2 linked regions of the Ovis aries genome follow. The protein of the gene in region 1 interacts with the protein of each later gene in a pairwise test. Links are inferred from orthologs where the notes say so. Each region holds a gene or a part of one and is shown in the gene's direction. Other genes may lie near its edges.

Region 1 (3,652 bases):
CATTTTAGAGAAGGCCTTTTTCAAAGGAGGTTGTTAATTTGAATCTGTGTGCTAATAAATGTAATTCCAGTAAGTCACAGTATTTCAAAGGCTTCCCTCATGGATCAGCAGTAGAGAATCCGCCTGCCAATGAAGGAGACGCGGTTTTGCTCCCTGGGTCAGGAAGATCTCCTGGAGAAGGAAATGACAACCCACTCCAGTATTCTTGCCTGGGAAATCCCATGGACAGAGGGGAACCCTTTGCTAACCTTGCATTTAAATCAGCCTACCAGGATTGGATTCCTTCATTATGGTCTGCAGCTTTCATCTTTTCCCTTTTTGTGAACTTATCGCTCCCCTTGAATTCTGTGGGTGAATATATATATGATACTCGTGAGACTGATTCTTTCATCTGTGGCTCTTTGGTTCCATTCCTAACACCTGTGAGGTGGATCCAGAGTTCTTCAGAAGCTCTCTTGGGGGACCTGCAGATATCTCTGTATGTGTTCCCCTGTTCAGTCCTCCTGGACTCCTCGGTCACCAGCATTTGCAGCCAGGGCTTCACTGTGGGTGGTTACAGGTAACAGCTGCTGCTGGGCCCGGAGCAGGGGCCTGAATGGGCTCAGCGCGCGCCGTTTCCTGTTTGTGCGGTGCTGCTCTGGGCACCAGTCCACACTTGCCCAGTGCAGATTATTCACTGTTTGTCTATACTCATGCCTGGCTCACGTGCTGCTTTGTTGGGTACCTTGGAGGGTAGGTGGTGAATTGTCAAAATTTTTCCTTTTGTTTTTTTCTTAGTTTGAAATAATCAGGTTTATCTTTTGATTTCCTACAAATCACAAACCCACGATAAAAGAAATTTAGAATTGATGAAAACTTCAGTTTAAATCCTCAGAAATAATTCATTTTGATAGACATAAAATTATCATTATTCCGTATAGTAAGTTGACTGTCAGTTTTCTAAAGCAGAACTCATAGCAGCCAAATGAATGCAATGGACTTGTGTTAAGAGTAGCACTTCCCGGATAGAATATACATCTAGATTTTGGAGGCAGTTCTATCTAGGAATTGTATGGTTCTCATACAATTCCAGAAACTTAGTGTAAAAGGTACTCTTTTAAATGTTATGTCTATATTGTTAGTTATGGATATTTGGTGCATATAGTGATATATCATGTGCACACACACACACACACACATACACACGCACACACATGCACTGTAAAACCCATAGCATACTGGGGAAATTTATCTATGAACTAAAATAGATTCTACAACTAATGTGGCTTAACGCTACTTATTTGGAATTTTAAAAAAAAAATTTTTTTTTTAACAGGTTATAAGCAATGCCTTGAAAGTTTGGGGTTTAGAACTAATCCTGTTTAACAGTCCAGAGTACCAGAGGCTCAGGATTGATCCCATGTAAGATTATTTTGCTTTTCCTATATTTGATTTTTAAATTTATACTTTCTTAAAGGGGAAAAATAAGCCTGGCCTGCTTTTGTTGTGATATTCCCCATTTTATCCCCTCAGGTTTTCCTGGTTTGCCTTTTGGGGCTGTCTGTGAACATCTGTCCCCCGAGCCTCCCTGACCCCTCCATGTGTGGCAATGCAGAGCTGATCCTTGAATGGGGTGTGGTGCTGTTGTTTCTGTATGGCATCACCGATCTCCACAGAGATTTATGCTGTTTTGTAATTTTTTAAAAATCAGTGATTCTTAAAACTGTAAATATAATCCTAAGTCATCATAGTTTTGTATAGTATTTTCTAATTGACAAACTAAATGAATATGATTCTAATATTTCAACTTAATATTGCATATGTGCTTTTTCCTGTTTCTAGAAATGAAAGGTCATTTATATGCAACTATAAAGAACACTGGTTTACAGTTAGAAAATTAGGAAAACAGGTAACGCTTCTCCTCCTTGCCTGTCTTTTTTCTCATTCTGTACCTCATTTGCAACTAATGTGAGGAATTGGTGCCTTGAAGATGAAGGAACACACCAGTAATGTGTTCCTGTGGCCTGGTTACAATCTAGATAGATAGGACATAAGTAAAATTCTCTATTTAAGACAAGACAGCCATATTTAAACATAAGTAAGTTTTTATGTGACCAAGATGTTCTGTCAGCTAACTTCTGTTTTTCATAGGTTTATGTTAAGCATAGCAGTGTCACAAAGCCTGAAATAGTGTCCGGTATGAATAAAAATTTTCAACCATGTTTGCTTTAGCTTAACAAGGTTATTCACATTCCAAAATGCCATGTAATACATGTGTCTACATAAATCATTTCTATTTAAAAAAAAAAATGGAATGTGTCTTGAGCATTGAGCAAAGCTTTTATAAGATCAAGAAATGTACCAAAAGTGGTATTTTTAAAAATAATTACCAGTGATCTTTGTATACCCAATATCATTTTTGACAACTTTTAATGTCCTTTTTCTCAGAATTTTGACTCTTTGAAAGAGGGTTACTGAAAACAGATTAATGTAATGAAAAAGAATGAATTACTGATACATGCAACAATGTGGATGAACCTCAAATTAATTATGCTGAGTGAAAGAAACTAGACACAAAATACTATAGTCCATAGAAAAGAAAAGAAGAAAGTGAAGTTGCTTGGTTGTGTCTGACTCTCTGCGACCCCATGGACTGTGGCCTGCCAGGCTCCTCAGTCCATGAGATTCTCCAGGCAAGAATACTGGAGTGGGTTGCCATTTCCTTCTCCAGGGGATCTCCCAACACAGGAATCGAACCTGGGTTTCCCATATTTCAGGCAGACTCTTTAACGTCTGAGCCACCAGGGGCTCACTATAGTGTTCCATTTATATAAAAGCATAGAAAATGTAAACTAATCTTTAATGACAGTGATTGCCTGGATGAGGGAGGCAAGGAACAATGGACGATGATTACAAGGGGCACAGGAAAATTGGCAGTGACAAAAATGTTCACTCCCTTGGTGGTGGTGATGGTTTCGTGGGTATATGCATACGTTAAAACTTCACATTTTACACTTAATATATTACAGTCTGCTACATTTCAAGTACACTTAAATAAATCTTTTTTTAATAAGCTAATATGAAACAAAAGGAAACAGGAAAGAGTACATTGAGTTAAATCAATATAAGATAATTCTAAAATGAAAGCCCTACTATTTTAAGTTTGCTGCTTAGAAGCAGCTTCATCTTAAATGGTCCCTCTTGGGTGGCAAAGAGCAAGTAAGTTAGTGTGGTTTGGTGCAGGAGAGACCCACGCAGGTAGGAATCGACTCTGGGAAAAACCAAGGCAGAACTCTCCCAAGTGTGTTTAACCTAGGAGTTTTATTTAAATATTTAAAAATACGATCAGCTGTTCTTCACTTTCAAGATCTGAAGTCTTAGAGTCTGGAATTCCTTTGTATTGATTTGTATGTAAACTTACATTATTATTTTGAGAAATTTTGTAAATTTTAGTTCTTCAAAATTGAATTTACAGATTTCACGTTATCTTAGACAAACTCATTATCCTAGACAAACTTCCCTGATAGCTCAGATGGTAAAGAATCTACCTGCCATGCAAGAGACCTGGGTTCAGTCCCTGGGTTGGGAAGATCCTCTGGAGAAAGGAATGGCCGTGCTGGAAATGTCAAACTATGGCTTATCATCTTTGGTTCTAATTTATATTTTTGATTAA
Region 2 (3,652 bases), on another chromosome or scaffold:
GGCCTTTGGGGTCTTCCTGGACCAGGGGGTCGAGCCCGAGTCACCTGCATTGGCAGGCGGATTCTTGACCGCTGCACCGCCACGGAAGCCCTAGCTTTTTCTTCTGATGTGTGTGCATTCTTTTTTCATTTGTATGGTGAACAACTGCTCATTTGGGGAACAAAAAGAAGTGTCCAGGAGAAGAAAACTGAAATCACCCATCACTCAGCTTCTCCCCATAGTTACTACTCTGGCTCTCCTTCCTAAGAGTTCCCAAGGATTTGTAATTTTTCTTTTTTTAGACTTTTTTTTCTGGACAGGGACCATTTTTTAAGGCTTTACTGAATTTGTTACAATATTTCTTCTTCCTCTTCTTTTTTTTTCTGTTCTGGAATTTTGGTCGGGAGGCATGTGGAATTTTAGCTCCCTGACCAGGGATCAAACCTACACCCCCTGTGTTGGAAGGCAGAATCTTAACCACTGGACGGTGGGGAAGTCCCTGTACCTTTTAATGTTCAGTACTTGTTGTCAAGCATTTTCTCACGTGGAGAGAAAAATGTGAGGCGTTCCCCTAGACCAGCCTTGTTGCTCATCACACACAGCTAATCGTCACTATCCCAAATATCCTCTCCTGTTGTTCTTCCCTTCCTGGGGGATTATGAAGCAAATCCAGGCACCCTGTCATTTGACACATAAACACCTACATTTCTGTTCCAACGACTCCCCCTCCAGCCACTTGATCTGTGCACCTCATCGGGATCTGGCCAATTATAGTTCTTGCAAACCAGTAATTAGATCTAGACAGAGGCTGATCAGTCTCGTGTTTAGTGGAGTTTCAGATTTTTTTTTAAAATTTTATTTATTTATTCTGTTTTACTTATTTTGGGCTATTCTGGGTCTTCCTTGCTGCACAGGCTTTTCTCTAGTTGAGGCAAGCGGGCCTACTCTCCAGCTGGGGTGCTCGGCCTTGTCATTGCTTCTCAGTAGCTTCTCTTGTTACAGAGCACAGGCTGTAGGCGCGCAGGCTTCGGTAGTCATGGCCTAGTGGCCCCGAGGCATGTAGAATCCTCCCCGACCGGGGATCGAACCTGTGTCCCCTGCTTTGCAAGGTGGATTTTTAACCACTAGACCACCAGGGAAGTCCCTGGATCCTTCTTTTTTAGGTTAACAAAAGGAACCACAGAACAAGCCAGACACCATCTCTGCCCCTTGCTCTTTGCCCTTCACAGTAATCTGGGTTTGCACCTTGCCGCTACTGGTCCTCCATGTGACCATGTGGGCAAGGGACCCCTCCTTGGCCTGCCTCGCTTCCCTCATCTGTAAGGTGGACTTGATGATAGCTCCAAAGAGGACGAGAAACCGTCAGGTCTGCACAAGACTTGGCAGGATAGTTGGCTGAGGATAGCTTGGAGGATAGCTGTGCCCCTCCTCTCCAAAGAAACATCAGTCCTCACTAAGAGAAGGGGGTACAGATATGTGTGTATCACTTCTGACCTTTCACCACCTAGGCCCAGTTCACCTTTCCAATTTTCATTATATGGACAACAATACACACATCTGCTGACTGAGCGCCTCCCAGGTGTTGGCCACCAGGCTCAGTTTCCTGCTTCCCACAACACCCATTCGTGCACCTGTGCAGTGGGGTAGCTTGGGTCCACACTTGGGGTTCCTGGCTGCTTGAATCCCCCTTCCGTCGTCCTCTTCCAACTCCTTTATGTCCAGATATTGTAGATCCTTTTTTCAAAGTAGTTTTCTTATGCTAATGGTTTTTTGTGTTAAAAAAAATTGCCGAATGGTACCTTAAACTGTCGTTTCGGAAGCTGGCTCCCAACCCCTCCTGTATAAGCCCCGCTTCTCTTACAATTAACTGTTGCTTATGTTCTCTTCAGACAGTTTTAAGACAAATACAGTAATTTTGAAAAAACACCCATTCAAGTACTTGCAGTGTTATGTGGAAATCTGTGAATCCCCAGCGAGTTCATTTTGGTGGCCACCAGACGTCGTTTCTTTGCCAACCATTGTTGTTCAGTCACTAAGTTGTGTCCGGCTCTCTGTGACCCCATGGACTGTAGCATACCAGGCTCCCCTGTTCTCCACTGTTTCCCAGAGCTTGCTCAGATCACGTCCATCGAGTCGGTGATGCCATCCAGCCATCTCATCCTCTGTCACCCCGTTCTCCTGCCCTCAGTCTTTCCCAGCATCAGGGTCTTTTCCAGTGAGTCGGCTCCTCACATCAGGTGGCCAGAGTATTGGAGCTTGAGCTTCAGCTTCAGCATTAGTCCTTCAAATGGATATTCAGAGTTGATTTCCTTTAGGATGGACTGTTTGATCTCCTTGTGGATCTTAGTTCCCTGACCAGGAGTCGAACCTGTGCCCTCTACATCGGAAGCTCAGGGTCTTAACTGCTGGACTGTCAGGAAGGTCCCCAGATGTAATAGCTTTAGAACAGGTATTAATATCTGGCACGATTAGTTTTTCCCATTGGCCTTCTTTTTCACATACTGTTTTCTGTCTTTAAAGCTCAGATTGTGGATTTCATCTCCTCCCGAGCTGTTCTTTCTCCAGTCCCTCTCACCAGGCTGAATGTAATCTCTCCTTCCTCCGAACACTTACGTTGCCCTGTGTTTGGATTCTCAGTGTTGCCTCTGAGTAACTCATGAGGCTTGTCACCTCCTCTGGGAGTGCCTTGGAGGGCAGGATCCATGTCTACACCTGCATGTTGCCCAGCCCCATGGCTGGCCTGTAGTGGGCGTCTGGGTTCCTAGGCTTGCCTGGCACTGCCGTGACCTGACCCTCTCTCTCCACAGGCTACATTGGAGTGGTCAACCGCAGCCAGAAGGATATTGAGGGCAAGAAGGACATCCGCACAGCACTGGCGGCTGAGAGGAAGTTTTTCCTTTCCCACCCAGCCTACCGGCACATAGCTGACCGCATGGGCACCCCGCACCTGCAGAAGACTCTGAATCAGGTACGGTGAGGACTTGGTGCAGTTGCTCAGGCTGTGCACTGCAAAACAGCTGCATTCCACAGCGGTGCTGCCGCTAGGCTAGAGCAGCACTCATTCTAGCAAAGTTGAGCTCAGTGAACGTTTGCATCAGTGCCTGGAGAAGAGTCAGTGCTGGTATTATTACTTCCATCACTACTATTGTTACCATTATTTTTTAAGTTTTTTATTGAAGTATAGTTGATTTACAATGTGTTGATTTCTTCTGTACAGCAAAGCAACTCAGTTACACATACATATATTCGTTTTTTTTCTTAGTAGCTTATTGACTGATTTGCGGCCGCACTGGGTCCCTGTCGCTGTGTGGACTTTGTCTTGCGGTGCTGAGCAGAGGTCTGCTGTCTGGTTGCAGTGCACGGGCTTCTCATTGCAGTGGGCGCTCTTGTTGCGGACCACGGGCTCTAGGGCACTGAGCCCGTAGTTGTGGCTCACAGGCTCGGTGGTTCTGCGACATGTGGTATCTTCCCAGACTGGGCATTGAACCTCTGTCTCCTGCATTGGCAGGTGGATTCAAAAGGATACAGTGAAGCGCCATGTGCCTCCTGCCTCTCACCCACCGCTGTAAACACTGCCTGAGTTTCTCTGTCCATGAATGCAGAAAGGACTTCTGAGAAGCACATTTCCCCCTTTATCCATAGTCATGGATGCCCCCCATTTTTCTTTTTTTAA

What was found. The genes of interacting proteins can lie anywhere in the genome.
Region 2: the proteins of ATXN3 (region 1) and DNM2 interact in binary tests that used the Homo sapiens proteins (3 or more experiments, as listed by UniProt). The link is inferred for Ovis aries from reciprocal best matches to the Homo sapiens genes ATXN3 and DNM2.

Annotation. Positions count from the first base shown.
Region 1 is NC_056071.1:54,591,545-54,595,196, reverse strand, and holds part of ATXN3 (ataxin-3), read left to right. Parts: intron 1-1,315; coding exon 1,316-1,401; intron 1,402-1,551; exon of another isoform or gene 1,552-1,607; coding exon of another isoform or gene 1,608-1,612; intron 1,613-1,821; coding exon 1,822-1,888; intron 1,889-3,652. UniProt on the Homo sapiens protein: Deubiquitinating enzyme involved in protein homeostasis maintenance, transcription, cytoskeleton regulation, myogenesis and degradation of misfolded chaperone substrates.
Region 2 is NC_056058.1:13,095,324-13,098,975, forward strand, and holds part of DNM2 (dynamin-2), read left to right. Parts: intron 1-2,786; coding exon 2,787-2,947; intron 2,948-3,652. UniProt on the Homo sapiens protein: Catalyzes the hydrolysis of GTP and utilizes this energy to mediate vesicle scission at plasma membrane during endocytosis and filament remodeling at many actin structures during organization of the actin cytoskeleton.